2 linked regions of the Macaca fascicularis genome follow. The main gene of each other region encodes a partner of the protein of the gene in region 2 in a complex. Links are inferred from orthologs where the notes say so. Each region holds a gene or a part of one and is shown on either strand. Other genes may lie near its edges.

Evidence for each region.
Region 1: the proteins of GABBR2 (region 2) and KCTD16 are in contact, whole or in part, in a crystal structure (PDB 6M8R), measured with the Homo sapiens proteins. The link is inferred for Macaca fascicularis from reciprocal best matches to the Homo sapiens genes GABBR2 and KCTD16. Residues at the interface, in NP_005449.5 of Homo sapiens: Ile882, Asn883, Ile888, Gln889, Arg891, Leu892, Ser893, Leu894, Gln895, Leu896, Pro897, Ile898, Leu899; in NP_001357415.1 of Homo sapiens: Asn30, Gly32, Gly33, Gln34, Val35, Tyr36, Asp64, Leu65, Ala66, Lys67, Asp68, Ser69, Arg72, Phe74, Gly79, Phe80, Arg83.

Annotation. Positions count from the first base shown.
Region 1 is NC_088380.1:150,965,905-150,982,150, forward strand, and holds the end of KCTD16 (BTB/POZ domain-containing protein KCTD16), read left to right. Parts: intron 1-9,441; coding exon 9,442-9,896; 3' UTR 9,897-14,842; downstream 14,843-16,246. UniProt on the Homo sapiens protein: Auxiliary subunit of GABA-B receptors that determine the pharmacology and kinetics of the receptor response. Increases agonist potency and markedly alter the G-protein signaling of the receptors by accelerating onset and promoting desensitization.
Region 2 is NC_088389.1:59,815,898-59,832,143, reverse strand, and holds part of GABBR2 (gamma-aminobutyric acid type B receptor subunit 2), read right to left. Parts: coding exon 16,207-16,246; intron 11,131-16,206; coding exon 10,906-11,130; intron 8,092-10,905; coding exon 7,909-8,091; intron 4,060-7,908; coding exon 3,930-4,059; intron 1-3,929. UniProt on the Homo sapiens protein: Component of a heterodimeric G-protein coupled receptor for GABA, formed by GABBR1 and GABBR2. Within the heterodimeric GABA receptor, only GABBR1 seems to bind agonists, while GABBR2 mediates coupling to G proteins.

The sequences.
Region 1 (16,246 bases), on a different chromosome or scaffold from region 2:
TGACACCCTTTCTTTCTCCAAGCTGTGTTTCCTCATTGTAAAATGAGGGCCACTTGGGGCCTCTCAGGTCTCTTCGAGGTCTCACACGATTCTCTTTTCAAACCACTGCTGTGGTCATGTGGGTCTGCCAGCACTGAGATTCTGCATGAGCATCCTGATTGGCCTTATCATGGCCATGCTTCTCATGCATTCTACATTTTCTGGTCAACCCTCACTGCTTCCAAGTAGTTTATGACTCATAAATGTTTTAAGATCTTTTCCACCTGTGTTTCTCACAAAATTCACAGGGTTCTGTAGCTCTTGAACAATTGCTCTGAATTTAACTTTTTTTTTTTAACCAGGAGGATTAATAGAAGTTTAAGTTTGCATTTGCCAATAAACCATAGATTATTGTAGATTTGTTACTCTTGTCACCCAGGCTGGAATGCAATGGTGCGATCTCTGGTCACTTCAACCTCCACCTCCCAGGTTCAAGTGATTCTCCAGCTTCAGCCTCCCAAGTAGATGGGATTACAGGTGTCCGCCACCATGCCTGGCTAATTTTTGTATTTTTGGTGGAAACGGGGTTTCACTACATTGGTCAGACTGGTCTCGAACTCCCAGCCTCAGGTGATCCTCCTGCCTCAGCCTCCCAAAGTGCTGGGATTCAGGCATGAGCCAGCCTGCCCGGCCATATATTTTTTCCCTTTTGGAGGAGATATCACATACTGGTTGGTTGTTGAGTATTCATTAAGCAATATTAGCAAATATTATATCTTAATTCACTAGCAAGGGTTTTTTTTTTTTTTTTTTTCATGAACTAATTAAGTGCACACTTCACACACTGGTGATTGCTACCAAGGCAGCCCTGGTAGAACTGAGAAATGGTGGAAGGATGCAAAATGTCCCACACATCAGGAAGAGAACCACTGACACTGTATCCTTCAGGTAGTCCTTTTCATTATTTTCAATGGGCAGAGGGAAGGGAACTTACATTTTATATGTAAATATAATGATAAAAGACATAAGAAAGCCTGAGCTTTTAAGTTGTTCAAATAGCTGGTTACTTTTAGAAGTTATTGAAGGGCTGGAATCACTGGGGCAGTCATGTTTAACATCAATATTTAAACTCTTTCACTCTGTTAATACTTTTAAATATCTCTCATAGAAAATTTTCATGTTTGGATATTGTGTGCACTAAATAAAAAGCAGATGCTTTGTATTTAAAAAGATCTGAGTTTTAATTCTCACCACTTGTCAACTTTATAACTTTGGATCAGATAATTAACCACTTTTAGCTACAGTTTCTTCTTCCATGAAAAGAAAAGAATAGCATCCTAATTGACTAATGAGATTATTACTAATTCACCATTCACTAACAGGATTATTGTGAAGATAAAATTATGTAAAGTGCTGAACACAATAAAAAGACACAGGGAGTTCTCAATAAATAATATCTATTATTAGAATTTCACCAAGTTTCTGGTTTGGAAGAGTTAACTGTTACCTTATTCACTTTTGGAATCGCAATGCACAATAGGTAGCAAGGGAGCTACAGTACATCTTTTGAGGTGTTAAGTCAAATATGTTGAGACTGGTATAGCAAAGCGGTTACCATTCCAGAGAAGAAACAGGTTACCTACAAAGTAGCTTAGCAATAGTAATAGTGCCTGTCCCCTAAAGCATTGACCAGTATTAGTGCTAGACTTGCATAGGTGCTCAGAGGATAAAAAGGGTACGTTAAACAGATAGTAAGTGCGTTTACATGAATTTAATGTAGTGTTCAGGACTCTGGTTATAACATAAAATTTACTCCCACTAGATTAAACCAAAAGATAAAATCATAAACCTAGGGATTGGGCCCATTTAAATACTGCTAGATGTAGGTCTCTGTCTCTTCACTATTTCCCAGCTTTGCCTGTCTCACTTGGCTTCTTTCTGACTGAAAGTCCTCCCATTAGGTATGGAAGATGGCAATTGGGCTCACATACCCCTCACTTGGCAACCTCTCAAATCATAGGGCACATTTGACCCACCGTATTTCACCAGAACAGTCCCAATGAGAACTTGGATTCACCCGTCCTGAGTCTCATGCACTTACCTGAACCACCCACTATGGTCAGGGGGTGGGGAGTACTCTGTTCAAATGTGGGGGGTCGTGTGTGCCCCTCTGAGAAGTACCACCACCATGGTTGACAGTCGTTTAAGGGCAATGTGAAATAGGGAAAGGGAAAGAAGGAGGCTTTTACTGGAAGAATGGAACACACAAACTCTGTAGTTAATACATATACATTTCATTTTAAGAGACAAAAGATGCCGAGATATTGATTGCGAGGAGCTGCAGGCTTTGAGAGACTTGTTCCAATTTACAAAAAATATCAGTGAAAAGAAAAATGAAAAAGGAAGTCTCTAGGATGAAGAGGACCAAGTAGGAAAAGGGGTCAGGATGAGCTGCAGAACCTAAAGTAGGCAAACAAATATGTTTTGGGCAGAAGTAATCAAGTGTGATCTTAGTCCAAAACAGCTGAGACTAAGATGAGGAAATAAAATGAGGAAGAAAGCAAGAAAAACACAAAAATGACTTGGAAAGTGGAATACATGTGTCATCAAGGAACACTTAAAAGAGCAAGGCAGTTCTACAAATCATTGCATTGCTCTAAAATCTAACATTGGAAGCTCCGGAGCTGAGAGGGTATGCCTGATCATTATCAAATAGGGAAATTATATAAATAGGAACCATGGGCTAAATGGTTAAGGAAGTTAATTTTTTACCTAATCGTTCAATGCTTTAGGGATGTTTATACTAATAAATTACTGAGTGATGGTCAATTTATATATACACACATATATAATATATATATATAATATATATACACATGTTATATATAATGTATATTATATATATATAACTATATATATATAAAATAAATGTAAAACACTTTTAAAGTTCTTGATAGGCCTGTAGATTTTGCCATTTTCCTCTCTGGGTCAGCATGTTTTTGTCATATGTACATTGACTGTCTAGCAACATGCCTAAATATTTTCCATTCTAATGTCTTTTGCATGTCAGAATTTTCAATCCATTTTTCTTTTTGGGTGAAAGGTTTACTCTATCACACACACATTCACACATTCTAAACTAAACTTTGCTTTCTGTACATAACAGGCTTCCTCCCCCATTCATTTATCATGCAGCTATTCAATGAGCATCTGCTACTAGACGCCCTGGCATGCTGATCTGTGTTTGCCCTGGAGCATGGTCTGGAATTCAGAAGGAAACAAGCACATCCCTTATAGTCTAGTGCAGAAAACAGACATTAAGCCAATAAACCTAGAAACCCACCCATGTTTATACATTATGGTGCTGTGAAAGCAACGGGCAGGAGGTTGAGGCTAGCTTGAAAGTAGAAGGATGCGTGGCTGGTAAAGGGAAGATCACACACAAAACCTTGAAGTATAAAAAATGGCTGGCAGGGCAGGAGCTGAACTGAGGTGAATTTTTTTTTTTTTTTTAATTTTCATTTCCTAGCTTGTGCAGTAGAGCACACATTCCTGCAGGTCAAGAGTGTCTTTCATTTCTTTTGCATCCCTCGCAGGGAGTGTCCTCGTTATTAAGGTGTTGTCTCTCAGTGCAAAACACATCCCTTTATACTCTATTTGTGATGCCAGGACTGGGATTTGGGTTAACCACACAGGCTAACTACACTTTTCCTTTGCCTAGCTGGCTTTCTGTTAGGCTCTGTCAATAGGGGTGCTAGAAGTAGACACTAAAACATGGGAAGAATTCCTTGCTTGCTCCTATCAGCGTCAACTCAGCTTTTGTTTACTCCAAAACCAGTTGGTTCCAGTTTCCCTTTTTTCCCCTCTATAATCCCCAGAGCCAGGCTGATTCAAAGACACCAGCACCAGCAGGCCACATGCCCTCTTCAGATGTCTGGGTCCAACCTCCACACAATGCCTCCTCTAAGATTTAAGGTTCTAATAACTGCATCTTCTTTTACTTGTCTCCTTAGACTTAAGGATGGTAACCACCTTGTGTAGCCACTATCTTTGTCTCTTTACTGCTACCTGTTTGCATTTTCACTTCTCCCATATCTGTCTAACCAATACTTATGTTAAATCTCCCTGTTCAGGTAACTGGTGGGGTGCCTGTGTTCCTGACTGACTCTGATGGATGCATGGATAGTTTAACTGTCTGTTCTTGTCCATACTAACCATCTCTCAGTAGAAGCTCCCACTGGGCCCCTCCAAGGCCAACTGTTCATGAGTAAAAAAGGTCAACTGCAAGCAAGAAGCGATGATTGTCAAGCTTGAAGACAAACTTTTTTCAGAAGCTCTCATAGCCTGCCTATTCCCGATCTCTCAGTATGCAATATCTTTTTCAAGGTTAGCAGAATTATAAAAACATCAATTTGGCCATTATTGACTTTTCAACTGGGATACCAAGAAAACCTTTCAGCAGCCTCGATAAATTAAATCTGGCCACCTAGCTCCCAGACTTGCAGGCTCCTACATCATTGACAGAGAAGACAGGGAAAAGCAGTTTTCCCAGCTGTTGCAGTAAATGATGTGCATTGTGCTCACAGCCATTAGCAGGTGGAAAATTTGAAGTGTGGGTACATTGCAGAGCTGCCTCTTTTAAAAATGCATAAGCACTTTGTGAGTTTGCTAAGTCATGTTTCACTCAGCTCAGTTTGAATTTTTCATAGAGGAGAAATATTCTGTAGTCTTTCCTCTTTAAGTTCTTCTTTATCAGTAAGAACTGACACAGTGAGGTCTATAGTGGAAGGGGGCCAAGTCTAATCATACCATTTGCTTGATTAGTCCTCAGTTTTTCTAAGTTGTAAAATGCTTGAAGATTTAGGGCTTTAAGGACTTAATATAACTGAGTTTCCTGCCTCTCCCTGTTTAATCCAAAATGCAAATTCTTTCCCATTCTGGATTTGAGTTTATTTGATGTGTTTTCAAGTAAATTTTTATCCTGAAGAGCTCATCCATTTGTGAAATTTTAAGCATTGCACTGTAAAGACTCCTTTTTCTCCAAAAACATCCCCTGTTCACACACCATGTGCCACACACAGTATGTGCTTGTGGTCACTCATTGGTCACACCATTCCTATGCTGAGGCAGACATTACTAAGTACTGAATACACATTTTCCTGATGCATCCAGCTGTAACATCAGTGTCATTACTAATGTGATATTCCAGCTAGACCTAAGAATTAGTTGTGTGGTGTACTGATGGAAGCATTATAATTATACAGCAAGCCCTTGATTTGTTTCCTTCATATGGAATAGTGTCAGGATTGTAGTAGAACAAAGATGTATAACTGAATGGAATACTTAGTGTGCCCCAAATTATGAAACATCTTTTACATTAGCTACCTCATTTAATTTTCTTCAAAGCCCTGTGAAGAGAATACTATTAACAGCCTTATTCTTCAGATGAGTAAACTGAGGCTCAGAGAGTTGAACTAATTTATGTAAGGTCTCATAGGTGACAAATTGTGAAGCCTGACTCTGGCGCCTGAGACCTGCACTGCCATGTTATCAACTTGATACAATTCAACATATGTGTTCAGCTCATTCATTGATTATTCATCAAACATTTATCAAGCCACTCTTATGCAGCAGGCACCAAAAATCATATTCAACAAATTCAGCAATGACTTATTAAAAAACAAGGTAGAGCTATTAGGTTCTCTGACCAGCAACTAGATAATAACTCCCCAAACAGGCAATAGATTTCCTGCTTTTTTAATATCAATAAATCAGACTTTTCTTGGAATGAAATGGTTTTCTTCCCACATCTGGCTAATCAATTGTAACCTATTTTCTCCCCAAATGGAGAGAATTATTCCAGCCAGTATTGAAACCTCAGCAAATTGGAAGCAAAATACGTTGCAATTTGAAGTACCAAGGTATTTATGAGATCGTTATTTGCTATAATTGGGGGGATTCTAGAATACTTTGTGTTACAGAACTGACCTTTCATAGATCTTTCCATACTTTCCAAGACTTGTAAGCACATCACAGTGGTTCTGCAAGGTCAAAGGGTCTGGAGCTTACATGTGTCATTTCTGTGTTCTGATTTAAAACCTCTTTGCTTGTCATTAGGTTCTTGGGAAGAGGGTAGTCAGGCAGACAGTGCTCCTAGAAAAGATATGGGGTGGTCATCTTCTCACGTTTGATTATTTTTCAAACTTCACAACGACTCTTCATGTAGGACTACCTTTGGGCTGTAGTACTATTAATCCTATAATATTGGATGAGCTGGATGGGGCCCTTCTGATCCTATCTTTCTTTTTTGGTTTAATATAATATATAGACTTCAGAAGCCATCTCATAAATTATCTTGCCAAAATAAATGGCAAGTAAAACAGTCAAATGTTCTCATAAAATCTTGAAACACGGCAGCATGACAACCTCCATGAGAATTAAGTTGCTCAATTTCCCTTTGATAGTGATAGTGCCCAGAGTAAGTGGAAAGCAATACTTCTGTTTGGTAGCTGGAGGATCCCACATGACATTTAAATACATGATCATCCCAGCAGTTCAGGGAGGAAATAACTGCACCATTGCCAGGTTCCTGGCTTGGCACATAGTGAGGGCTTCATGCAATTTTCCACATGAATATACAGAAATCCTTCACATGATGGTGTTTGTGTTGTTAAAATAACTTTGGGAAGACTGGGTGCGGTGGCTCACACCTATAATTCTAGCACTTTGGTAGGCCGAGGCAGGCAGATCACTTGAGGTCAGGAGTTCAAGACACACCTGGCCATGGTGAAACCCCCTCTCTACTGAACATACCAAAAAATTAGCTGGGCGTGGTGGCAGTTGCCTGTAGTCCCTGCTACTCAAGAGGCTGAGGTGGGAGAATTGCTTGAACCTAGGAGGTGGAGGTTGCAGTGAACTGAGATCGTAGCAGCACTGCACTCCAACCTGGGCGATAGAGCAAGACTCTGTCTCAAAACAACAACAACAACAACAACAAAACCCAAACAAAAACTTTTGTAGAAGTCTCAAGTTTTCTTCTGGGTCCATTGAATGAAATGACTTAACCATGGGGAAGGTGATTGACTCTTGGACAAAAAGACACAGCAATTGCTTCTCTACTGGTTCAGCAGGGTTTATGGCCAAAATATTTTGTAATCTTGCTTTAAGGTAATAGGTGTTTCCCAGCATATATTTCTTCTCTTCTTCCTTTCTGTATTTCCCCTCTCCCTCTTCTTTCTTTTTGTAAAAGCTAAATTCAATTTCTGCACTTTTTCAAAAAGGTTTAAAACCAGATTGTCTCTGGTTTGATGTGATTACTTTTCTTCAGTGCAATTCATTGGAACCATTTCTCAGTTAAGTCATTTTGGCATAGGGGTTGCCGAGTTTGGGGAAGCAGAAGCAGATTCTGCCTAGTGAAGGTAAAAAATGATGCCCTCAAAATGTATGCTGGCAGACAGAAATCATTTTCTATTACTGATATTTTCAGTCACCAGCTGGTATATGTTGAACAGTTTCTGTATTGCATGGAAAATGTATAATAGCATGAGATAACTAGAACAATACTGCTATTGTGATTCCTTTTGGCTAATTGGATTGTTGCATTTAGTTTAACAGCTTTAAAAACACAATGATTACTCAGTCACATTTTAGAAAGTGACTTGAAAGAGTGGGTATAATTTAGGAATACTTCTGGAGTTGTGATTTATAGAAACTTTTGTTTTACTTTCTCTTTAAAAATTGTATGGAGATAAGTAGGTATATGTTTAAATCATTTAGTGTGTAAAGAACAGGCATTATCCAAGAAGATAGGACATAACTTTCCTAATAGTTTTCATTCTAAGTTTTCTCTACTTTGACTATGTTAGAAATGGCAATAAAGTAAGATCCTACATAATGTGACCTATGATTCATGAGAATAAGATATGGTGTAAACCTAAATGGGGTCTCCTTTAAAACTATATAAAGGTACTACATTATCCTTGTCCTCAACATCATAAAGGAATTTGTTCTCTTTATTTTTATGGATTAAGTACAAAGAATTGTAGAAGTGCCCAGCATGTAATACATGATCAGTAAATAGTATTAAGTTTATGACTCCAGGAAGACTGTGGCTGTTCAGAGGGTGGAAGTGGGGGGCAGTGACTTATTTTTAGGAAGTTGCTTTGTGCCATGATTGTGTGTTTTTTTTTTTTTTTTTTTTTTTCTGGTTCATGGAGCCACTGTGCATCTGCAGCATTGCTCTGCCTTCAAATTGCTAAATGCAGTATTATGAGTCAAGACTCAGAGGAATGGGAGAAGAGGGACTCACATTGGCTGAAAAAATGACACAGAATATAGTTTATCATATAAATGAAAAGCTCACTGGCAAGACTAGCTTCAGGTGTGGCTAGATCCAGATACTTAAAAGTTATAATATGGCCTTTTATTGAATTTCTACATTGTTCCTTGGCGTATTTGCTCTATTACAACAATGGATACTTCACTATGCTCATATTAAGGAGCTCATGGCCTAGTAGCTAATATGATATATAACAAAATGTAATATGTGCTATAATAGAGGAACTTACAAAGTAGAACTATAATTCAGAGAGGAGAAAAAAGCAAATACGTCTGAGGAGAGGTTAACAAGAAATTCAGAGAAGTTATAACCTGCAAATTGTTTTGAAGTAGAAGCAAAGATTTTACTAACAAGGATACTGAATAAAATGGTTAATTGGTATGGTTATGGCCCTTGGAAGGTCTGTATTCAAATCTCAGCTCTGCCACTTTCAAATTGTACAAACTCTGGCAAGTTTCTTAAACTCTTGGGGTCTTAGTTTCCTTGTATGGAGACTGAAATTGAAACTACTGAGTTAACAGAGTTTTCGTTAAGGACCAAGGAGCTGAGGGATACCCAGATAGGGACAGGCACAGAGTCAGTCCCCCTTCTCTGGTTACTGTCATTCTGTTTTGATAGCGTCCTCCTGTTGTACCTGACTGCTGTCACTTGGAGCTTTTCATCAGCTATGGGAAATCGGCTAGCTTTTATTGAGAGTTTACTGTGAGAGAGATACTGCATTAAGAATTTTGACTTATCTAACTCCTTCCTGTAACTCCAGATAGCAGGAAAGTTATTACCCTTAAACCACAGATGAGGAAAGTGACTCTGAAAATCTAAGGAATGTGCCGAGGTGACAAGCTTAATAAATGATGTTAGCTGGGTATTTCTGACTCCCGTGCTCATGGGCTCAAGCATTATACTATATTTCCTCTTATATAGCATGCCATCATTAATTTCCTCCCCTCATGGACTTGGCTTTTGGCTCCTGTTGCAGCCCACCCTGGGTACCACCCCACTTTTTCTAAAAGCATGGTTCCATGGTGCTTCTCTTATGTGTGTTTGTGTGTATGTCCAAGTGCTATGCTGCTACTCCAACTGACCTGGCTGGCAATAATCCTTTGGGTCCTGTGCTTTCTTTTCAGGTGAGCCTTCCAGATGGTCACCCTCACACTGCGATTGCTGCTGCAAGAATGGCAAAGGTGACAAAGAAGGGGAGAGTGGCACGTCTTGCAATGACCTCTCCACATCCAGCTGCGACAGCCAGTCTGAGGCCAGCTCTCCCCAGGAGACGGTCATCTGTGGTCCCGTGACACGCCAGACCAATATCCAGACTCTGGACCGTCCCATCAAGAAGGGCCCTGTCCAGCTGATCCAACAGTCAGAGATGCGGCGGAAAAGCGACTTACTCCGGACTCTGACTTCAGGCTCCAGGGAATCGAACATGAGCAGCAAAAAAAAAGCTGTTAAAGAAAAGCTGTCAATTGAGGAGGAGCTGGAGAAATGTATCCAGGATTTCCTAAAAATCAAAATTCCAGATCGGTTTCCCGAGAGAAAACATCCTTGGCAATCTGAACTTTTACGGAAGTATCATCTATAAGGGAGGGCTGGGGGTGGGAAGATAAAAAAAAAAAAAAAAAAAAAAAAAAAAAGTCTTCATTTTGAAATTAACCTCCTAAAAGGAATTCATATTTTAAAGGAAAAAATACAACTAATGATGCACATTTCTTAGAACACAATAGTCCATTGATATACTACTGCCTACTTTACCTAGTTCACCTTAACATGTAAATCCACAGGGTAGATTTCTTTCTAGATGTGGAAGTACAAGAAAATCTTTTTTAGTTATTTGTTTGTTTACTTGGTCCCATGTGCTAAGTATCTTATATATAATGAGAGTCAGCTATATAAAAGTAGCTGAGAGGCCTTGGGAATCGTTTATCCCAAACCGGGTTTTTTTCTCTCATCTTCTACCTCCCTCCTTTGAATGAGGGTATGGTAAAAAAAAGATCTGGCCCAATGGCATAAGTTTGGAATTTTAAATTTTGCTTTTTCCTTTTGTTTATGGGGTAGGGGGGGAATGGCAGATTTATATGACTTTTCACTCAAATCTATATGTGCCAGTTTATATTGACTCTGTATGCATGAGTATTTGTGCAACATAAGCACAACTAAGTATGTATATACACACTACGCACACGATGCCAGGGCCTAGACATCCCAAGGGCTGTACTCCTGCTCCCAGCAGCCCTCTCTTAGAACATTTCAGATGGATGAGCTTCTGACTCTTTCTTAAAATTCTTTTGGGAAGATTTCCCAACCTTTCTTCACAACGCTTTCTAACATCAAATGACCCTCATCATCAACAAATTGTATTCCTTATTTTGAAATTAATACCCTCAGGCTCCATTTTACTGCTTTGCTCTTTGTCTGCATTAAGAGAGGATGAGGAGAGCTGGTCAAACATTCTTTGTGTTAAAAAATCAAACATTCGTATTCGCAAAATTTTCTGCTAAATGACCCCACACTCAGCCTTCTCTACCCTGAACTAAATTATCACCTTTCTCTCCATGTTTTCAGAGTTCTTACTGCCCACAGTTTAATGGTGTGGCCTTTCCACGTAATCCACATTAAGTTCTGTGTTCCTGTGTTATGGAACGAAGGACAACACACAGTACTCAAATAAGGGTCCGGCCTTTTGTTTGTTTTAGAGAAAGTTGTATTCCACATACAATCTAATAATTTCTTATAAAAATTTTAAGCTACAAAGCTACATTTTTACTTGCTGGTAGCCTTTTTTGTTTGTCTTTGGGATTCGGGGTTTGGCTGTGCCCATGCTAGGGTTTAGCTGTGTCATTTTTATGATGTTTGTAACAACCCAGCAAGGTAACTGAAGCTCCAAAGTTAAGGTTTCAGATTTCTAAATGAAACAATCTTTTTCAATTACATCCTATCCAGTATAGACACAGCCAAAAAGAAACCGCTAATAGCTATCCATCCATGTAACTCTGTATTTTACTAAGGTACCAATAGCTCTTTCATAGACTTGTGCTACATGAAGGTTGAAAGACCAGTTTTTATTTTCAGCATTCCTCATGCATTTCAGTAGTAACCAAAAATTGATTTGTCAATTATTAATTGTGTGCCAAGCACTCCTAATTTGTTTCATTGCGTGTGTGTGCATGTGTGTATGTGTACCACAGGTAATAAAGGCAATTGGATGATATCGGTAGGAGGAAAACAATGACTAATTTCTTCCTTTTAAAATCTTTCATTGATGCACATTTATTATGTAAGAGGTTCTGTCTTGATTTCTGTTCTTAGTGATGATTAGTATATGAATATTTTTCTGAATTTTTGTAATTCTCGCCTTCACACTTGGATGACAGGCTCAGCTAAGTTTTCCTTGTCCTGAAGGTTTGAATGGAGTTTAAAGTTTTTACATAAGTGAAAAAGAAAGTATATCTTGGGAGTTGAGTTATCAAGAGAATTATAATTTATGAATTTAAGTGATGTTCTTTTCTGTATTAATATATTAGCAGATATTTGATCTTAACTACAACATAGCTTTGTTTGTAAAGCCTACCAGTATGTCTTCATTATTTTCAATGTTTCTTGATAGCACATGAAAATACCATCATCCTAATAACAGAAGATCTTGCAAAGAATCACAGAGCTTAATGGGTCAAGAAGTTGAATTTGGGGAAAATATCCTGAAACTCACTTTGGTCATATGATAATTGTGTTATCACTGGAAGTGCTGTCAAAGACTTTGGTGTCTAACTAAAATGGCCAAAGTTCCAACTTCCTTAAATTTCAGACCTGACTGTAATGGCCTCAAGATAGAGAGATACCCTCATAAGAATTAAAGAATTAAGATGATAGTCAACCCAATATTTCTACTACATTCTTTAAACAGGAAATTAAACACTGCAAAAGGAGTGTTAATGGCAGTGTTCTTCTGACCCCTGACCTGTCATCAGTTTTCTCTGCTCTGACATTCCTTATATACCCAGTGAACAAAGCTAGAATAGAAAACCTGTTTAAAACAATCACAACAGCAGTATTTTTATTTTGGGCCACCTCTCGGCTGGCACCCATCCCATAGTAAAATATTCAAGTAACTAAGACAATAGCATGGCGTTTATTTGTGTGAGTGTTGGTATAGAGATGAACATAGACCTGGCCAGTAAAAGGCTCTGAGGAGGCTTAAAGTACCTAGTTTGAGTGGAGTTATCAAGTGAGGTTCAGGTAGCCTGCAACATTGGAAAAGAGTTCTGGGTAAGTGAGTTATAAGAGTACATGCTCTAGTAACTCTGGTAGTCACTGTGACTCGGGCATGTTTCCCTGAAGTTAAAATAATTTTTAGAACTTTTTGTTTAATTCTGAACAAAAAATGTATGTGGTTTGCTTCTAGAACATTGGTTATGACAAGGGCCATAAATTGCTAATATAAAGAAAGTAGTAATATCAAATGGATACAATGAATGGGGAATCACATGTATGGAGCCCCAACTTAGATTGCCTTCTGGGAAATCCCACTAAAATCCAGTGAGCTTGGGGAGATCATTCTCTAAAGGTATGTGAGTCGTCTAAAGTCAGAAACGTATTTACAAAGTCCTTCTACCCACTATCAAAAATGAACTGATCCACATTCAGCAGGAAAAGGGGAAGACAGGAATATAAAACTAATAGATCATATGGTAGTGTGATTTTCTTTCCCCCGCTAGGAAAAATTGCACTGAAATGCTGTCAAAAAATAATGAAGTGAAGTGGCTTCCAATATATGCACTGATGTTATCCTTTGTATTTATAGGCACAGTTATCTTACTGAAAATGCATGCACGGTGAATTAAAATAAAAGGGGGAACAATGCACAAATAATAAGTTTTCCCTTTGCTCTTTATTCCTTCATAGTTGTATCTATTCCAACCAATTCATTTTGGGGGAACACATTTATTAAAGGGTGCTGACATGGAACTTTTCTCTTTTCAGTTAGCCTTGTTCGATTCAGAGGAACCTTTATCCATAGGCACAGATGTGTTGCTTGTTCTGGGCCCCATTACTTCCTGTGCTTCTGGATTACTTTTGCTTTCCTGGGCTTTAGATTCTTCTCTGAGTATCCTTTGTTGGTGTCAGACAAAACATGCTCCAATGAGACAAAAGGAAGGCATGTATGGTGTTTTGCAAAATTACTTGACACCAGCTCCCACAATGGAAACCAAATTTTGATTCTTATACATTTTCCTTTGTTGCAATTCCAGCCTTCCAACTTTGTATCTACTATAGAGTGGATCTGTGAATTTGAGTGCTGGTATTTTCTGCCACTATATACTATGCCATGGAATTTGACTAGCCTTAGTCTTCTAGATGATCTTTACTAGAATTAATAAGATTCTTTCTGTGAATTTTTAGGAAGAATTCTTTGTCACCTCCACCTGACACACCAATTTTCAAAAGAAAAACGAAGGGAATTCATTTTTCCTTATGGTGACTCTTTGGCAGATAAACATTTTTGCCAATTTGCATGCTGGGTTACGGGTTTAGCATGGGCCATTTCTCTCTTTAATGTCTTGGTATTATTGGCGTCTTGCAATCTTGATGCCCCACATTTTTAATTTATTTATTTTCTTTTATATTGTCAAAATAGCAACTAGAGAAAGAACCAGAGTGAACATTCGGTATCCTGAGTTACAATGGAGTTACATGTCATTTGTATAGAACTGTATAATGATTAATATCTGCAGAGAAATTAGACCAAATGAAACCTGCTGGCATAGGTTTGATTTATATTGCCTTCATCATTCTGGTTTCAGACGAAATGGTTATTGCTCTCTACCACTGCTGAAAGAATAGAGTCTTAAACTTTAATAATCACAGCCTTGTGATGCAAGCACAGAGCTTATTTGTTTGAAATGCCTATTATTCTCATCTTGCTGTATATGTTGGAATGGAGATTCTTTTTCCAGTGATCTCCATTGCAAGCTTTTTAACAGTGTTTTTTAATACTCAGTATGCATAAAATTCATGTGTAGCACTTGTAAAAATGCAGATTCCTTCAACCTATCTTCAAAGAGTCTGATTCGGAAACTTGAAGCAGGGCCAAGAAATTTGTATTTTGAGCTAGTCTCCTTAATAATTTTGATGAAGATTGTCTATAGACCTTATTTTGAAAATTTCTGCTATTTAGGGAATATGCAGAGACCAACAGTTCCTTTACTTCTTAGAAGCATTTCCTCATTTTCTCTTACTTCCTTCCCACTACAAATAAGTCAAAGCACGCATTATTCATTATCTTAAGAGAAAAATCCCAAAGAAAAACATCCTAAGACTAGAGCAGAATAGATTTTCATGAATTCTTTGCCATTTCATCTGCTGTATGTCAACCATAACCCTTTCTCCATATTGTGTGTGTATGTGTATGGGTTTTTTCCCAAAATAAAAGCCTACATTATTATAGTCTTAGCTCTGGGTAGATGGGAGCACATCTCTGAGTGAGATGTATTCTAATGATACCCAACAAGAAATAAAAATAATGATCTTTCCCAAGGAGAGTTGTTTATTTCTAGGACCTTACTTAGTATGAGTAGGAGGAAATTGAAAGTGACCCATAATTTAATGATGTATATGGCCCCAAAGGTGATTCCATTAACTGCACATAAAATATAACCAAAATGAATATGGAATGGTTAGTGAATTCAGCTACATTTTACCAAACAAATCCTGTGCCATTGAACTGCTAAGTTTGTCCAATTTGACTCAATCAGGACTATGAAGCTCTCAGATAATTGAAGATCATGAACCCTGACATTAACTAAAAACTTGAAGCCAAACTCATGTTTGAGAATAAATGCCAAAAAAGAAAAAAGAAAAAAAAAGAAAAGAGAAGAAAAAGAAAGCAAGAAAGAGTGAATTCAAACGGGTTTCAATGATCCAATTGACTCTATTCATTTAACAGAATAACTGGATACATACCAAATTCCCACATTATAAGAAAGATAAAAATAGAGATCACGCTTGTCATGATCATGAGTGAATATGTGAGTAAATATTATTGCCAAAGGAAAGTGAAGTACGCTTAATGAAACTGTTGAACATGAGCAACTAATTATGTTAAACTGGCCAAGATTAAAACAAAAATGGTTAAATTTGATTCAGTTTGTTGCCCTCTCTCCTCTGCTTCCTAAGTGGGATTTCTTTTCTGTCCCAGCTTCCTAAGGTTCAAAAATGTTTCTCTTGTTTGTGAACAAATTTTGTTGCCAATTGGGTAAAAAATGTTAAGTTCCCAGACTGTCATCCTTGCATTATTTAGGAAATTTACTTTTAAAAGGATAAAGAAAAATGTGCCTGGCCTAGCAACTATCAAGGGCTTGTCCTGGAGGAGGGCGGGGGTAATCTTCCTGTTAATCAGCTTTGTAAAAGCACTTATATGCCAACCAGAGGGTTTATTAAGTCTCTTGTCTCCAGCAACCTCCTCCATCTTATCAGTTTATTTTTAGAATTGACCTTTAGATAATTTACCTGCATTTGCACAGTGAAAAATCAACATAACTTTATATTCTCTTCCTGCTGATGTGGTCTCCATCCATCACAAATGGAAGCAGAACTGATGTTTAATAAAGTAATGAGAGTTGCTTTCAAATTATATCAGTGTGCATGTGTGAGTGTGCACATAACCATGTGCAATTTTTAGGTTTATGTCAGTTCAGTGGATAATGTGTGTGGGAGTGCTATCTGAGTGTGTGGAAAAAGCCTTTGGTTGCATAGTTTAACAGCTTTTTATTTCAGCACAATAGTTTGTCTTTACTGTGGATGTCAGTCCTTGAGAATGTTAAGTAAAGCTGGTCTCCTCATGTGGAATTCAAACAATAGTATTTTCTGGGGAAAATTCAAACTCATATCCACGTATATAGTGAAGAGTGGCATCTTATTCAAAAAAAACAATGCATT
Region 2 (16,246 bases):
TTAGTGACATGTTTTTCACATTTTGTGCTGTGTGTTGGTGAGTTTGCTGTTGAAAATGGCCCCCAAGCACAGCGCCGAAGTGCTAGCTAGTGTCCCTAAGCACAAGAGGGCTATGATGTGCCTTATGGAGAGAAAATACATGCGTTAGATAAGCTTCCATCAGGCATGAGCTATAGTGCTGTTGGCCATGAGTGCAATGCTAATTAACTCATATATATTTAAAAAGATGTCTTTTTTTTTTTTGAGACGGAATCTCACTCTGTCTCCAGGTGGAGTGCCGTGGTGCGATCTCGGCTCACTGCAACCTCCACCTCCCGGGTTCATGCGATTCTCCTGCCTCAGCCTCCCGAGTAGCTGGGACTACAGGCACGTGCTATCATGCCCAGTTAATTTTTGTATTTTTAGTAGAGACGGGGTTTCACCATGTTGGCCAGGATGGTCTCAATCTCTTGACCTCGTGATCCGCCCACCTCGGCCTCCCAAAATGCTGGGATTACAGGCTTGAGTCACTGCGCCCAGCCTAAATAAGATGTCTTTAAACAGAAATACGCATACAACAGAATTATATATTGATTGGTGGACAAAAATGTCAGCTTGTGATGTCAGCCTGTGAGAGACTCCCAGGGACCTAATCCTGTATAGGAGCAATGGTTCAGTATTCACAATCCACTGTTGATGGAGGCTTTACAGAAAGAACACAACTACCGCTACTGTAAATCAGCAGAATCGACTGTATATCATACTGCTATGGTCTGAACGTGTCCCCCCAAATTCATGTGTTGAAACTGAATGAAGAATGTGATAGTGTTAAGAAGTGGGGCCTTTAGGAGGTAATTAAGTTGTGAAGGCGGAGCCCGCATGGATGAGGTTAGGGCCTTTATAAAAGGGCTTGAGAAAGTGGGTTTGCCCCTTCCTCCGCTCCTTCTGCCATGTGAAGATGCAGAGTTCCTCCCCTCCAGAGGATGCAGCAATTCAGGTGCCATCTCAGAAGTGGAGGCCGGACCCTCCCCAGACACTGAACCTACTGGCACCTAGATTTAGGACTCCCCAGCCTCCAGAACTGTAAGAAATACATTTCTGTTATTTATAAATTACCAAGTCTGCAGTATTGCGTTATAGCAGCACAAACAGACTAAGGCATGGAGAATAAATCCCAAAAGTGGGATTGCTGGGTCTGAATGATTTCTGTTTCAACCAGCAACATTTGAGACTGCCTCTCTCATAACCTGTTTCCTGGCACTCTGAGCAGCTTTTTGATCTCTGATCTGTGCCAGTCTTTGAGGCAAAAATGGTATCTCATTGCAGATTTAATTTGCATTCCTTTAATAAAGAATGAGATTGATCATCTTTTCATAAGTGTAAGAACGATTTCCAGTTCCTTTTATGAGAACTCTCTTTTGCTCATTTTTCTTTTGAGATGTTGGTCTTTTTCTTACTAATTGGTATATAATGATACATACTTTTTGTATTACTGCATATCATTTCTCCTTATATATAAGGGCATAAGCTTGTTATCTGAGTTAATTTTTGGCTTTGTTTGATTTTTTGGCTATACTTATCATGGCTTTTGCATTATGAAAGAAATGCTTTTTGTACCTAAATTTATCAACCTTTCCTTTTGTGATTTCTGTTTTGCATCAAACTGAGACAGGTCCTCCTCTCTCTGAGATTTTTTTAAAATTTTACTTTGGTTTCTTCTAGTACTTTCATGTTTTCACTTTTTATATTTAAATCTTTTATTCATCGGAATTAATTTTTGTGTAGGTGTGAGTTTAGGATCTACCTTATTCTCCTCCAGATGCCTACCCATTTATCCCAATGAAATTTATTAAATAATTCCTTTTCTCCCACAAATTTAAAATTCCCACTTTTACCAGATACTAAAGTTATTAAAAGTAATTTTTATTCTTGTAATTTCTTTATTATCTCAATTTAAACATTTTTGTAATAACCATGTTACATAATATTAATTACAGAATATTGCTACTGAAATAAGACCACTTATTACTTATATAATAAGAATAAAAGGCCGGGCATGGTGGTTCATGCCTGTAATCCCAGCACTTTGGGAGGCTGAGGTGGGTGGATCACCTGAGGTCAGGAGTTTGAGACCAGCCTGGCCAACATGGTGAAACCCCATCTCTACTAAAAGTACAAAAAAATTAGCTGGGTGCAGTGGCAGGCACCTGTAATCCCAGCTACTTGGGAGGCTGAGGCAGGAGAATCGCTTGAACTTGGGAGGCAGAGGTTGCAGTGAGCCGAGATCGTGCCATTGCCCTCCAGCCTGGGCAACAAGAGCGAAACTCCGTCTCAATAAATAAATAAATTAATTAAAAGAAACAAAGATTTTTCCTTGATTTAAACTAATGTTATAACAAATTGATGAATACATGCTAATGGAAAAAACCAAGCCATAGAGAAACATAAAAAAGGTAATGTGGCCGGGTGTTGTGGCTAATGCCTGTAATCCCAGCACTTTGGGAGGCTGAGGCGGGCAAATCACTTGAGGTCAGGAGTTTGAGACCAGCCTGGCCAACATGGTGAAACCCTGTCTCTATAAAAAAAAAAAAAAAGTACAAACATTAGCTGGGTGTGGTGGTGGGCACCTGTCATCCCAGCTACTCAGGAGGCTGATGCAGGAGAATTGCTTGAACCTGGGAGGCAGAGGTTGCAGTGAGCTGAGATCATGCCACTGCACTCCAGCCTGAGCGACAGAGTGAGACTCCATCTTAAAAAAGTAAAAAAAACATAAAAATAAAAAAAAAAAGGGTAATGTAAAATAGTCCCTTCTCACTCACTTTCCACAATACCATTTCTTTTCACACGAGTCAATACTGTTAGCAATTTGGTGTTTGTTTTTCTAAACCTTTTAAAAAATGCATTCACACACACGTATATGCATTTGTGTGTCCCATAATCATAATGTTGGCTTTCATCTTGCTTTTTTCACCTGGAGATGTTTCCATATCGGCACAAATAGACTCACCTCACTTTTTAATAGCTATAAAATGTACCCTGTTTGGCTATATCTTAATTAATGAAACCACCCCCAAATAATGAACATTTAAGTTAATTCCAGTTTTTCTCACCTACAGACAGCATTGTGAGGAACATCTCTGTGTTCTTCTCTGCACACCTGGGAGTATTTGCGAGGGGCAGGTTCCTGCTAGTAGAACTGCTAGGTCAAGAGGTTTAACATGGAGCATTTAGACAGTGCCAGGCTGACTTCTAATGCATCGCAGGAGAATGCTCATTTCCAAATACTCTTACCCATTCTGGTAACCTTTTAAATTTTTTCCAAAAGGTAGGCAAAAATTTTTTTTTGTGTGTGTGTTTTTTAAAATTTATTTTTGTAGAGATGGGGTCTTGCTATGTTGTCCAGGCTGATCTAAAATTCCTGGACTCAAGCGATTCTCTAGCCTTGGCCTCCCAATATGCCGGGATTACAGGTGTGAGCCATTGCGCCTGGCAGGTTTGTGTTATTGTATAGCTTGCAATTCCCAAGTGGGTGGTGAGATTGAGCATCCTATCCTAACTAACTGACCATTCTTTTCTTGCACATTGATGAGGTATATTTGAAACCGTGAAATACTGTTCAGGGAAGAAAGGGTAAACTATTCACTAAGAACAAAAGGGAAAACAAAATGTGTCTGCCCCCAGTCAGGACACTGGGAATGTTGGCCCCAGTGTGTAGGTGTGGAGCTGGAAGCCGAGGGATGGGAAATCGAAGCCCCAGGCCTAGGCAGGGTGGGGCTCAAAGCAGACAGTGAACTGTGGTCAGCAGACAGAGGTTCCAGGTGTGCCAGCTCTGTGTGTCTGAGTCCCGTGCCCTGTTTGAACCTCAGTTTCTTCCCCTAAAAAATGGAAGATGAACAGCTGGTGTTTGAAACCAAGGTCCCTACCACATTCTGGGGCCTTGGCTCTCTTACCTGTGCTCTCAGTGAAGTTTCCCAGGTTGAGGATGTCATTGAGCTCTTGGTAGTGGTTCTGTTTAATGTAGGTGGTCTTTTCTGGTGTGTCCTGCAGCTGCATGGTGACCTCTTCCAAATCTTTATCCAGCTAGAAGACAAAGGTTCCAGTTGAGTCAGGGTCCCTGGCCCAGCCCTGGTAGCTAGGCCACTAGGGCTAAAAGGTAGGTCACAGGGCTGGGCCTTTACCTGTATTCAGGAGTGCCCTGAGAATCAGAGGGGTTATTGCATCTTGGTATGGAGAGGCAGAAGGACCCTGACAGCTCTTTGTTCAAGGAGAAGCTATGATGACAGGGACCTGGGCTTTGCAATTATGTGTTCAGTGTAGGCTTGGGCCTTGATGAAGCAGACAAGCAAGCCCAGGGAGGTAGGGCAGGGAGAGCGTAAGAGCTCAGGCTCTGCGCAGGCCTCATGCAAACCCAAGGCTGCCCCTTACTTACAGTGAGGTTCTCCCGGCTTGTGAGAACCCAGTCTCTATTTCTTTTTCTGTAGAATGGGGTAATAATAGTACCTACTTCAGGGGGAGGTTGTGAAGATTAAACGAGATAATACATGGAAGGTTTAGCCCAGTGCCTGACACATAATAAGGGCAACCTGCTACTCTAATAATATTACTATTATTACAGGGTCTCACTCTGTCACCCAGATCAGAGTGCAGTGGTGCAATTACAGTTTACTGTAGCCTTGACCTCCTAGGCTCAAGCCATCCTCCCACCTCACCCTCCCGAGTAGCTGGGACTACAGGTGCAGGCCGCCACGCCTGGCTATTTTTTTTTTTGGTAGAGATGGGGTCTCTCTATGTTCCTCAGGCCGGTCTTGAACTCCTGAGCTCAAGCAATCCTCCCACTTTGGCCTCCCAAAGTGCTGGGTTTACAGGCATGAGCTACTGTGCCTGGACTTATAATTACTATTATTGATACTTAATAGGACCCACAGTGGGGAGGACAGACATGCAGGGCTCGCAAGCTCTGAGCCTCACGCTATCACGGAGACCCTGACTTGCAGGGACTCACTCAGAGGAGTTAATCAGGATGGGTCCCAGTCATCCCCACGTTTTTATTTTTAGAGACAAGGTTTCTCTATGTTGCCCAGGCCGGTCTTGAACTCCTGGGCTCAAGCGATCCTCCCACTTTGGCTTCCCAAAGCATTGGGATTACAGGTGTGAGCCACGGCACCTGGCCCATTCCCAGGTTATATAAAAATCAGGTGCAAGTCCTGGGGCAATTCAGCCCCAGAGAAACCTGGGCAATATGAGTGTTGGTAGTTGTGGGGGGTGGTAGTCGGGGTGGGTGGTGAACATCTGTGATATTACCATATCTGTATACATATAATGGCTTTCATCCATGATTCCTGGCTCCTGTATCTCTTGTAACAGTCTTTTGTTGTAATGTTGGGGCATTTTAGGCCTCAGGAGCAGGCCTCATGAAACAGAATCATGCTCTCTGACCTTCTCCTGTCCTTTCTCACCTGCTCAAGGCAGGACTCTAATCTGATTGTAGGTCAAAAGACCTTTATCACAGAGAGAGTCCTGCCCATACCCTGGAGGAAAGAATGCTACAGAGAGGCCAAGAAAAGTCTGAACAGACAGACCTTGCTGGGTTTAGATCATGCGTTTTTGTCCAATCACATTTCTACACAGTTGTCAATCATGCCTCGTGTAATGAAGCCTGCATAAAAACTCAAAAGAACAGGGTATGAAGAGCTTCCGGGTAGCTGAACACGTGAAGATTCCTGGAGCGTGGGGCCCAGGGAGGCAGGGAAGCTCCACACCCTTTCACCCATCCCTTGCTCTGTGCATCTTTTCATTCGCGTCCTTGGTAATAAGCTGGTAAATGTGTTTCCCTGGGTTCCGGGAGCCCCTCTAGCAAAGTAATTCAACCCAAAGTGGGATCCTGGGAGTCCCAGCTTGAAGCTGGTTGGTCAGAAGTTCCAGAGGTCTGACTTGTGGCTGGTATCTGAGGGTGGGGTGGGGGTCAGGGGGAGCCTTGGGGACTGAGCCCTCAACCTGTGGGATCTGAAGCTATCTCTAGATCCGTAGTATTGGAATTGAACCGGAGGCGCCCAGCGGGTGCATTTGGTCACAGAAGTCTTCTGTGTTGACTGTTGTATTGGTGCAAGAGCACAGGAAAAACATGGTTAGAGGATTTTTCCAAACAGCATCCTGCTGTAGTATAAGGGAGGAGATCTGATAAATTATCGGATGCTGTTCTGATGTCAGGAATACAGCCATGAAATTGTTTAATACGTTTTCATGTGGAGGAGGAGGGAGAGAGATACTCTTTTTTATGTGACTTAAATGGCAGGAGTAGGATCAAAGGGTGGGGACAACAGGAGGCCAGATTGTGATTCATTTCCAGGAAAAATAACGCAACAATTTAGAGTTTTAAACAGTGGCTTGGGTTTCCTAACGTGAGTGAACTCTTCCATGCTGAAGTGTGCAAGTAGAAGCAAAATGCGCAGTGACGTGGTAGTGCTCATCATGAGAGGCCTGATAGGGAAACAGCCCGTAATAGGCTTTGGGGGACAGAAACCCTTCTTAGTTTGCTCTGGCAGCTGCTGGTGGGTTGCCCCATCCTAAAGCAGTCATCTTTAGGTGCGCAGACAACTGTGTGGTGGCTCTCTGTGGCAGAATTCTGTGAGCCCCCCAAAGGGCTGCCAGATCTAGCAAATAAAAACCCAGAATGTCCAGTCAAATTTGAGTTTTGGATAACGAGTTCTTTTTCAGTATAATTATATCCCAGTATTATTCGGGCTATACTTTTACTGAAAATATGACTGGTTGTTGAACTGAAGTTTGAATTTAACTGGGCATCCTGTATCTAATCTGGCAACCGTATGTCTCACTTCTTCCTTGCAGCTGTCCAGCTAGAGATGATGTTTCCCAGCCTTCTCTGTCACTGGGTGTGCTCTTATCAGTTTTTGCTGATGTGACTAGGGCAGAACCAAAATGTGCATAATTTTTGGTGTTACTGCTTAAGAGGCAGTCCCTCATGTGGACTTTCTATCTCTTCCCCTCCTGACACTGTGAACCAGACATGCCATCCACCCAGCTCTCCCACTATGAATGAGGAGAACAGCCTAGAGAGTTGGGGAAACCAGAGGGCAGGAACCAAGCCCAGCAATGACCTTGGGGAGCAGAGCTGCCCCACCTGGGACCTCTCTCTTCATGGCCATTTGGTAAAAGGGAAATAAACATATTTTCTTTGGGCCACTTTATTTTGGGGCCTTGTTTAGCCAGCATCATAACCAATGTACTTTCCTTGGTCCCTTTCCTGTCCCCCTCCCTAATCAGAATTCCTCTATTAAAGCAATACACAGCCTACAGAGCATGGGTCCAGGCATACCTCCAACCCAAAGGGAGGGGTAGAGGGGGGGAGGTAATTTGTTTTCCCTTCCCTGGTCTACAAGGCTTGGGCACAAGGCAATCTGGCTATGGTCTCTCTGGAATATTCAAGAACCAGTTGAGAACCCTTAGGACAAAGGCGAGGTCTGCGGCACTCTGTCTTGAAAAGTTTCTTTTCACTTTCTCTTCTCTTGTACATCATATAGATGTGGTGGTTGCTGGGTTGTGCTGGGAGAGTGAAAAACTGAGAGGGAGAGAGACACAAAGAGAGACACCAAAGAGACACTAACGTAGGAAGCTACAATAATCCGGAAGCTCACAAATCTCTCTGAGTTCCTTTCTGTCTGGGGATGGCTTGAATCAGGTGGTGCTGGCCTCCAAGAGCCTGGGCGAGGTGGCCAATGAGCTCATGTCGGATTCTGACAAACGCCTCTGTGCGGCTTATGTCACCCCTGGCTCTCGCAGCTGTAACTGCAGCTGATGACACTGCCGGGTCATGCTGCAGGGATGGTCTAGAGGAGCCTGAGAGTCCCTGCACGGGGTCAGAGGGGCTTCAGTGGCAGACGGGGCCCAGCTACTCGATGCGGAGGGAGGTACCTCTGTGATCTTCATTCGCAGGCGATGGTTTTCTGACTGTAGGCCCTCCAGGCGGGATGTGCTGGCTTGGTTCACACTGGTGACCGAGGTGGACGTTTTAGAATCTTCTTTCTTCTGATTCTGAGTGAACTGGAATCGCCTGTTCTGCGTTGCTGCATCTGGGTTTGTTCGCAGGGTGATGAGCTGAAAGGACAAAGGTGGGGGCAGGGTTGAAGAGAGAGCCCTGGGTCCTTCCTCCCATCCCACATGGCAGACTCTCCCAGCAAATCCTGCTCTGGAGGCGACAAGAGGCCCCAGGAAGGCCACAGGCTGGAAGTCAGGAGACCTAGGCTCAGGCCAGACTCTGCCACTTGCTTGTATGTGACGTTGGGCAGGCCCCTTCCCCTCACCATGCCTCTGTGTCCTTCCTGGTCACTAAGAGTCTAGTCTCCTGACCCTGATGCCACCTGCGTCCCAACCAGGGCCCCTGAGGCCTCGCTTCAGCTGCCTAGCAAGTTGCCTTAGGCCTTGCTCCTTGTGGAAAAAATAAGCCCCAAGGGCAACAGCTGTGACAACAAAGAGATAGAGGAGAGCAAAGGCCTCTGTTTGTTAAACCATTGATGAGTTCTAGAAGCAGGCTGGTAACAAGCTGTGTCATTGACAAAAGCTTGTTTTTCAGCAGCTTAAAACAACACATGGTTATTATCTCAGTTTCCGTGAGTTAGGAGTCTGGGCATCACTTAGCTGCATCCAAAGACATTTTATATAGAAAACAAAAGTTGCCACTTGACCCTGATCTTACCAGCTTATTCTAGAAACATCTCTGATCGAGGCAGGCTCTGGGCTCAGCTCTGGAAAGCAGGAGTGGAGTGACCCATGGCCCCTGCTCACTGGGACCTCATGGTCCAGAGGCGTGGGCTGGGGATGAAGGAAGGACTCAATCTTCACCAGGCCAGCGGGTATCAGGGACAGCCTACCACAGTGCCATGGCCTGCTGGGCTCTGAGGACAGTCTGGAGGGATGGTGGGGGGAAGGGAACTCCAAGGGAAGAACTGGCATCTGCCAATGCAGGGAAGCCTGGGGGAAACGGCAGGGTAAGGGCAGGTTGGGTGGTGGACAGGGTTCTCTGGGGAGACTAGAGGAGACCCGAGGGTACTGAGAGCCAGCCCAACATCAGAAACTTGATCCTAGAGCCAGGAGGACAATGAGGAGCTATTGAGTGTGACGGAGCAGAGTGCCACAACTGAAGCTTGGCTTAGAGATCATTGGGCCTCTTTTACAGGATGGAAAGAATGTCAGAGTGCCGGCAGGGAAGTCATGGCGTTGCCCTGGAGTCTGGGCGGGTGTGAACGACTAATGCGTGTACACCAGAGGTGTTCCAGTGCAGAGCTCACAGTGCCTGGGGGCTGACTGCATGCCCAGGAGGATGGAGGCACCATGGGTAGCCTGTTTGCTGAAGTGGACCCAGGTGATCTTTCCTCTCCCCTGTTCTGAGGCAGATGCCTCCCACTTGGGTCAGTAACCCCCGCCCAGTTTTGTAACTCTGTGTCCTGTTCTTTCCTTTTTGGGGGGGGTGGTAAAGGGTCTCACTCTGTCACCAAGGCTAGAGTGCAGTGGCACAATCTCAGCTCACCACAACCTCTGCTCCTCCAGGCTCAAGTGATCTTCCTACTTCAGCCTCCTGAGTAGCCGGGACTACAGGTGCGCACCACCACACCTGGCTATTTTGTTTTGTATTTTTAGTAGAGAGGGGGTGTCACCATGTTGCTCAGGCTGGTCTTGAACTCCTGGCCTCAAGTGATCCTCCTGCCTTGGTTTCCCAAAGTGCTGGGATTACAGGCACGAGCCACTACACCCAGCCACCTTCCTTTACTTTTGAGACCCACTGAGGTCAGGCTTCCCTCGACACAGATCACCCTACTGCAGGGGCTCCTGAGAAGAAAGGCCTCTGGCTCACCCGCCCACTGCGAGGTAGGATGATATTTGAAAAATCTCTCTGTCGGGTGCTGTGGCTCATGCATGTAATCCCAGCACTTTGGGAGGCCGAGGAGGGTGGATCACCTGAGGTCAGGAGTTCCAGACCAGCCTGGCCAACATGGTGAAACCCTGTTTCTACTAAAAATACAAATTTAGCTGGGTGTGGTGGCGTGCACCTGTAATCCCAGCTACTCAGGAGGCTGAGGCAGGAGAATTGCTTGAACCTGGGAGGTGGAGGTTGCAATGAGTCAAGAATGTGCCATTACAATCCAGCCTCAGCAACAAGAGCGAAACTGTGTCTCAAAATAAATAAATAAATAAATAAAAAAGAAGAAGAAGAAGAAGAAGAAAAATCTCTCTTCAAGGTGGTCCTGAAGGTCAGCCCTTCAAATAAATGGAACACGTAAGTGGCTACTAAAAACGGTGATTTTTTTTGGCGAGGTGGCTTATGCCTGTAATCTCAGCACTTTGGGAGGCCAAGGCCAGAGGATTGCTTGAGCCCAGGAGTCCAAGACCAGCTTGGGCAACACAGGGAGACCCCGTCTCTATAAAAAAATTAAAAAATTAGCTAAGCGTGGTGGTGATGCCTGTGGTCCCAGCTACTTGGAAGGCTGAGGCAAGAGAATCATTTGATCCCGCGAGGTTGAGGTTGCAGTAGGCCGAGACTGCATCACTGCACTCCAGCCTGGGTGGCAGAGTGAGAAAACAAACAAAAAAACAAACAAAAAAAGCATTATCTCCTAGCTATTAAGAAAAAGGCTGGAAGGAAACACATCAAAAACATTAACAGTAAAGAACACCCCAACAAAACATGACCAGTGATTAAATAATCACTGGGTGAATCATTGGGTGGTGGGACAAAGGGAGATTTCTGAGAAACCTGGCCTTTATTCCTCTGCATTTTCTGAACTTTCTATAATGTGAATTGTCTTCATCATAAAAAAGGAATGGGTAAACCTTTTAGAGAATGGAGAAAAGCCAGCAATGCCCCTGTGCTGGAGTCGGAGGGCAGAGGCCAGGTGGTGGGGCCAGCACCCGTACCTTCGGCACAAACACCAGGCAGAGGGTGATGGTGCTGCAGAAGATGATGACCAGAGCCACGATGCAGAACTGCACGTTGGGCTGGTCCCGGGTCAGGAAGGAGACAGCGGCCCCGATGATGCACATGATCCCCACGTTGTAGACGCTCATCCCAATGTACTTGCTGTCGTTGAGTGCAGGGATGCTGACGTTGCGGGTCTCCCAAGCTAAGAAACAACCGAACAACTGAAATGGTGAACAGAAAGGGGAGATGATCGTTACCAAGGGGCGGCACACACCCGCTGCTCTGAGAAGCTGTGGAGTGGAGGGTTACTCAGGAGGTGGGCTGCAGGGAGGGAGGGTGGGGGGCCTTGCTGTCAGCCAGGTCTTCTGGATGTCACCATCTGTCTCCACTTGTGACCCTGCTGAGTCCCGCCAAGCAAATGCAGATTGGGGATGTGACAGCTGTCCAGTTCTCCTGCACCCCTATGACTGGTTCATGCACAGACCTGCCCGAGGCCACTGTGGAAGGGGACTTCAGATAAGATCTCAACCTTCTTCCTCACTCTCTAGGGAATACTAAGGCCCAGAAGGGGTGAAGAGGTCTGCCCAAGGTCACACAGCAATATGGTAGCAAAAATGGGCTGTGTTTTTAGAAATTCACTCCAGTCTTTTTTCTATTAAACTAAGCAGATCCCTTGTGTCTGAGACTTCTATTGTCCTCAAGTGCACATGGACGCCCAGAATAGAGACTACATTTTCCAGCTGCCCTAGAGGCTAGGCGTGGTGTGTTACTAGCTTCTGACAATGCCTGTAAATAGCAGTGGTGTGCACATGTTCTGGGAAGCGTCTTTAAAGGGAAGAGGTGTTGCTTTTCCTCCTTCCTAACAGCTGGAGTGGAGTGTGATGGGTGGAGCTTCAGCATCTGTCTTAGATCACAAGGCTATGATGTGGAACCTGTGTAATGATGATGTGGGGGCTGCAAGATACAAAGAGCTGAGATTCTGGGAGCCTTACCCCAGCCCTAGATTGCTTACTTCTGGACTAGGTTTACCTGAGAGGAACATTTCCTGTCTCTTCAACCATTATTATTTTGGGTTTTTCTGTGACTTGTAGCTCTACTCGTAACCAATAGATGTCTCGACAGAAATGGACAGAGTAGAGGCCAGCTGTGATCTGAAGCAGGGTGTCGAGGGTTTAACCCTTATGGGTGGTCTAAGGGGAGGGTGGGCTGCAGGGACAGTGCAGGTGGGTGTAGGGCAGAATGGTGGTGTGGCGGGCAGGAGGAAGAGCCAAGAGAGTTGACTGGTACAGGAACCTCTGCTTTAGTGCGGCCCTCCAAGGGGCCTTCTGACAAAGGCACCTCTTCCGTGTGGCTTCAGCAGGACAGCTTCAGGCGTCTGACAGCTGCATGAATCATTTAACGTCACACCGAGGACCTGTGTTTAGAGATTTGATGGCCGCATAGTGCTGTGTGGTAGAAGCGGGGCTGGACACAAGGCCGGGGGATATGGAAACTACTCTGCCATCCGTTGGCTGGGTGACCTGGGCAAGTCACTTCACCTCTCAGGACCTCACTTTCAATGTCTGTGGACTGGGGGGAATAATAATAATAATAATACCAATGTCACAGGGTTTCTGTGTGGATGAAATGGGAGGATGGATGTCAAAGCACTCTGTAGACTGAAATGTTCTGCACCAAGGTAAGTTCAAAGCTATTTGTAATTGATCTTATTTTATACAACCATGATTATTTTCCTCTCCCTTGTCCTTTATCCTTTCTCTAAATGTGTTATCTCACAGCCCGATTTATTCCTTTTTAAAAATTCCTTTTAAAATGGGGAACCAGGCCAGGCACGGTGGCTCACACCTATAATCCCAGTACTTTGAGAGGCCAAGATAGGTGGATTACCTGAGGTCACGAGTTTGAGACCAACCTGGGCAATGTGGTGAAACTCCAATACTACTAAAAATATAAAAACTAGCTGAGCGTGGTGGTGCATGCCTGTAATTTCAGCTACTTGGGAGGCTGAGGCAGGAGAATTGCTTGAACCCGGGAGGCAGAGGTTGCAGTGAGCAGAGATTGTGCCACTGCACTCAATCTAGCCTGGGTGACAAAGTGAGTGAGACTCTGTCTCAAAAAAAAAAAAAATAAAATAAAATAGGGAACCAGGAGCCCAGGAACCAGATACTGAGTGAGAGAAGAAAACCAACAGCCATTGAAAGCCTGTTCTGTATTGGTTCCTTTACCCACGACCCACTGTGATCCCATGGTAGCTGTGCCATCTTGCAAAGGAAGAAGCAGAGGCTTGGCCAGGAGAGGTGACCTGCTTGGGGTCCCACAGCGTGAATATCAGGGCTGGATGGGCGCCAGGACTTGGTCTCTCTGACCAAGAGTCAGTGTGCCCTCCTATCAGCCATGCTACCGATGGGCCACCAAGCCACTGTGAGGGTCCCCACAATAAATGTGGGCTACCCTGGGGACCTAGTGGTTGGCTGTAAATCTCTAAAGAGTGTCAGGAGGAAACACAAAGTAACTTGTTCTTAGGCCCTCAAATAGTAGATTGAGGGTTCATGGGTATAAGTTACACTGAGGAAGATTTCTGCTGAGGATTAGGAAAAACTTTCTAGAAAAGCACTCCATCTGTGGGTTGAATGATGGCCCTAAAAGATGGCCCATATCTTAATTCCTGAAAACCATGAATGTGACCTTATTTGGAAAAAGGGTATTTGCAGATATAATGAAGGATCTTGAGATGAGATCATCCTGGATTATCTGGAAGGGCCCCAAATCCAATGACAAGTGTCCTTATAAGGGACACATAAAGGAGACCATTGGGGAGAAGAAGAGAAGGCCACGTGGAGACGGAGGTGGAAACTAGAGTCATGCAGTCACAAGCCAAGGCATGCCTGGAACCATCAGGTGCCGGAAGAGGCAAGGAAGGATGCTCCCCTGCAGCCTTCAGAGGGAACACAACTGTCTGGATTTTGGACCTCTGGCCTCCACAAGTAGGAAAGAATACATTTGTTTGTTTTGTAAGCCACTGTTTTGTGGTAATTCGTTATGACAGCCAAAGGAAACTAACACATTATCCATGAATGGCACAGGCTCCTTTGAAGAGGGTGAGCACTCCATCACTAGAGGTATAGAAGCAGTTAGTGAATGAATGCTTTGGGGGAAGCTCAGGGTGGGCTGGGGCTTGGGGCCAAAACATTTGACAGTGGGGTGGACCTAAAGGGTTGTGTGTGCTTCTCCCAGCCTTGAGATTCTGTGGCTCTAAAATAGAAGGAGTAGGGGGGTGGCAGTGGGATTTTAGTCATAAACCTTCAGGGCCAGGAGGCTGGGGACCGTTCCTTGCATATTCTAAATGGTAAAGCATCTGCGCTATCAAATATAGCTTTTGTTGACATGAGCTGGCTGAAGCTGTTAGCTTCATGTGAAGACATACAGTCATCTCTCATCTCCAACCACTTTGGAAGTAGGTGGGAGAAGATAATGAATGATCAAAACATTACAAATAAGTCCAGTTTAAAGATGTCAATATGAGTCACCATAATCTAATTTCACAGAATGAGTCTCAGAATCAAGGAACATCAAGGCTGGAAGGATCATGGAGAGTGTTTAGATTCACTCTTTGTTCAACCAGGGCTGGGGGAAGTGCAGGTCATTGACACGACATGCTTTCTCATGACAGGGAGCTTGTCCTTCTTAGGGGCTCCATGGCATCTGTGGACAGTGCTCCCTGTTATAAGAATCCATCTTTACATGGAGATGGAGTCTGCCTTCCAGCAACTTTGCTTGGGGCTGACGGTTCTGCCCTCAGGTCTGTGCCACCCATTGCTGACAGCTCTTCCAAGCTTCTGGTGACTATGAATGTGTCCTTGTCCAAACCCAGGAACTTTGGCCAGTCCTTAAGTTCCTATTTCTATATTGGGTACCTCCTGTGGACACCCCCAGGGTCATTACCTTGTGCTCAGATTGCAACCCAGTGGTCCTGTTGCTTGCATGGGAGCTCAAAAAACTTCTATGGAAAACCATAAAAGGGTGTCAACTGGTATGAAGTGGGGACCAATCTTTGCCTAGGGTCCTCATACATGCCCTTCTGGCATGGCCTCTCAAAGGACACGGGATCAATCACTAACACTTCTCTGATGCGGCAACAGGTAAGAATGCATTTGAGCAGCACGAGAGGTTCCAGTTTATTTGACTTTTGGAGAAGGCTTCATTTTTGGCCTCTAAGTGGGGTCACACAGGGGTGAAGGGTGGCTTAACCTCCCTGTGGAAAGATCTGAGGATGGTGCAGTGACCAGCTTCATGTCACTGGAGGGCTTTAAGTGGAAGCATGGTTCATATAGGATATAGGAGAGAAGATTCAAGGATCAACCTGGGCTGAAACACGGTGGGGCTGACCTTTCAAGTTCTCCCTCATGTTGGCATATCACAACGTGGCTCCGTATGTGATCTTTGATTTTTTTTTTTTTTTTTTTTTTTTGAGATGGAGTTTCACTCTTGTTGCCTAGGCTGGAGTGCAAATGGCCTGATCTCGGCTCACTGCAACCTCTGCCTCCCGGGTTCAAGTGATTCTCCTGCCTCAGCCTCCGGAGTAACTGGGATTACAGGCGCCCGCAACCACACCCAGCTAATTTTGTATTTTTAGTAGAGATGGGGTTTCACCATGCTGGCCAGGCTGGTCTCGAACTCCTGACCTCAGGTGACCCACCCACCTCGGCCTCTCAAAGTGCTGGGATTGCAAGCATGAGCCATAGCACCTAGCATGATCTTTGATTTTAAAAGATGAGTCAAGTGGAAAGAGTGCTGGGTTTGGAGTTTAGAGGTTACTAGGTAGCTTTTGGCAAATCATTCAGCCTCTCCGAGGCTTACCCTCCTCATCTATTAAATGGGGATGATCCCGCCCACCTCCCATGGGCTTAAGAGAGGATCCGCTGAAATGCTGGAAATGAACATGCACTGGATGTCAGCAGACTGCTCTTCCCGGGAGCGGTGCAGTGACAGCTGTGAGGCACAGCCACAAGTTTTTGGGTTACTCTCTGGTTAAGATCTTGACTCTGCCGCTTACCAGCTGGGTGACCTTGGGCAAGACACCAAGCCTCAGTGTCATCAGTGAAATAAGGATGTTACTTGTACCTATCTCATAGGGTTGCTGCAGGAACTGAGATAGCATGCGGCAGGCACTGAGTACACAGAGAGTAACTGCTTAGTCATGGAGGCTCTGTTTATTTTTACATTGATGGAGGCCCCTGGGAGACAGAGGCCCAACAGAGAAGTGTCCCCCCCAACTCCATCTCCTGCTCTGCACCTACCATGAGAAGTCCCTTGTAGGCATAGACGATGCCAAGCCAG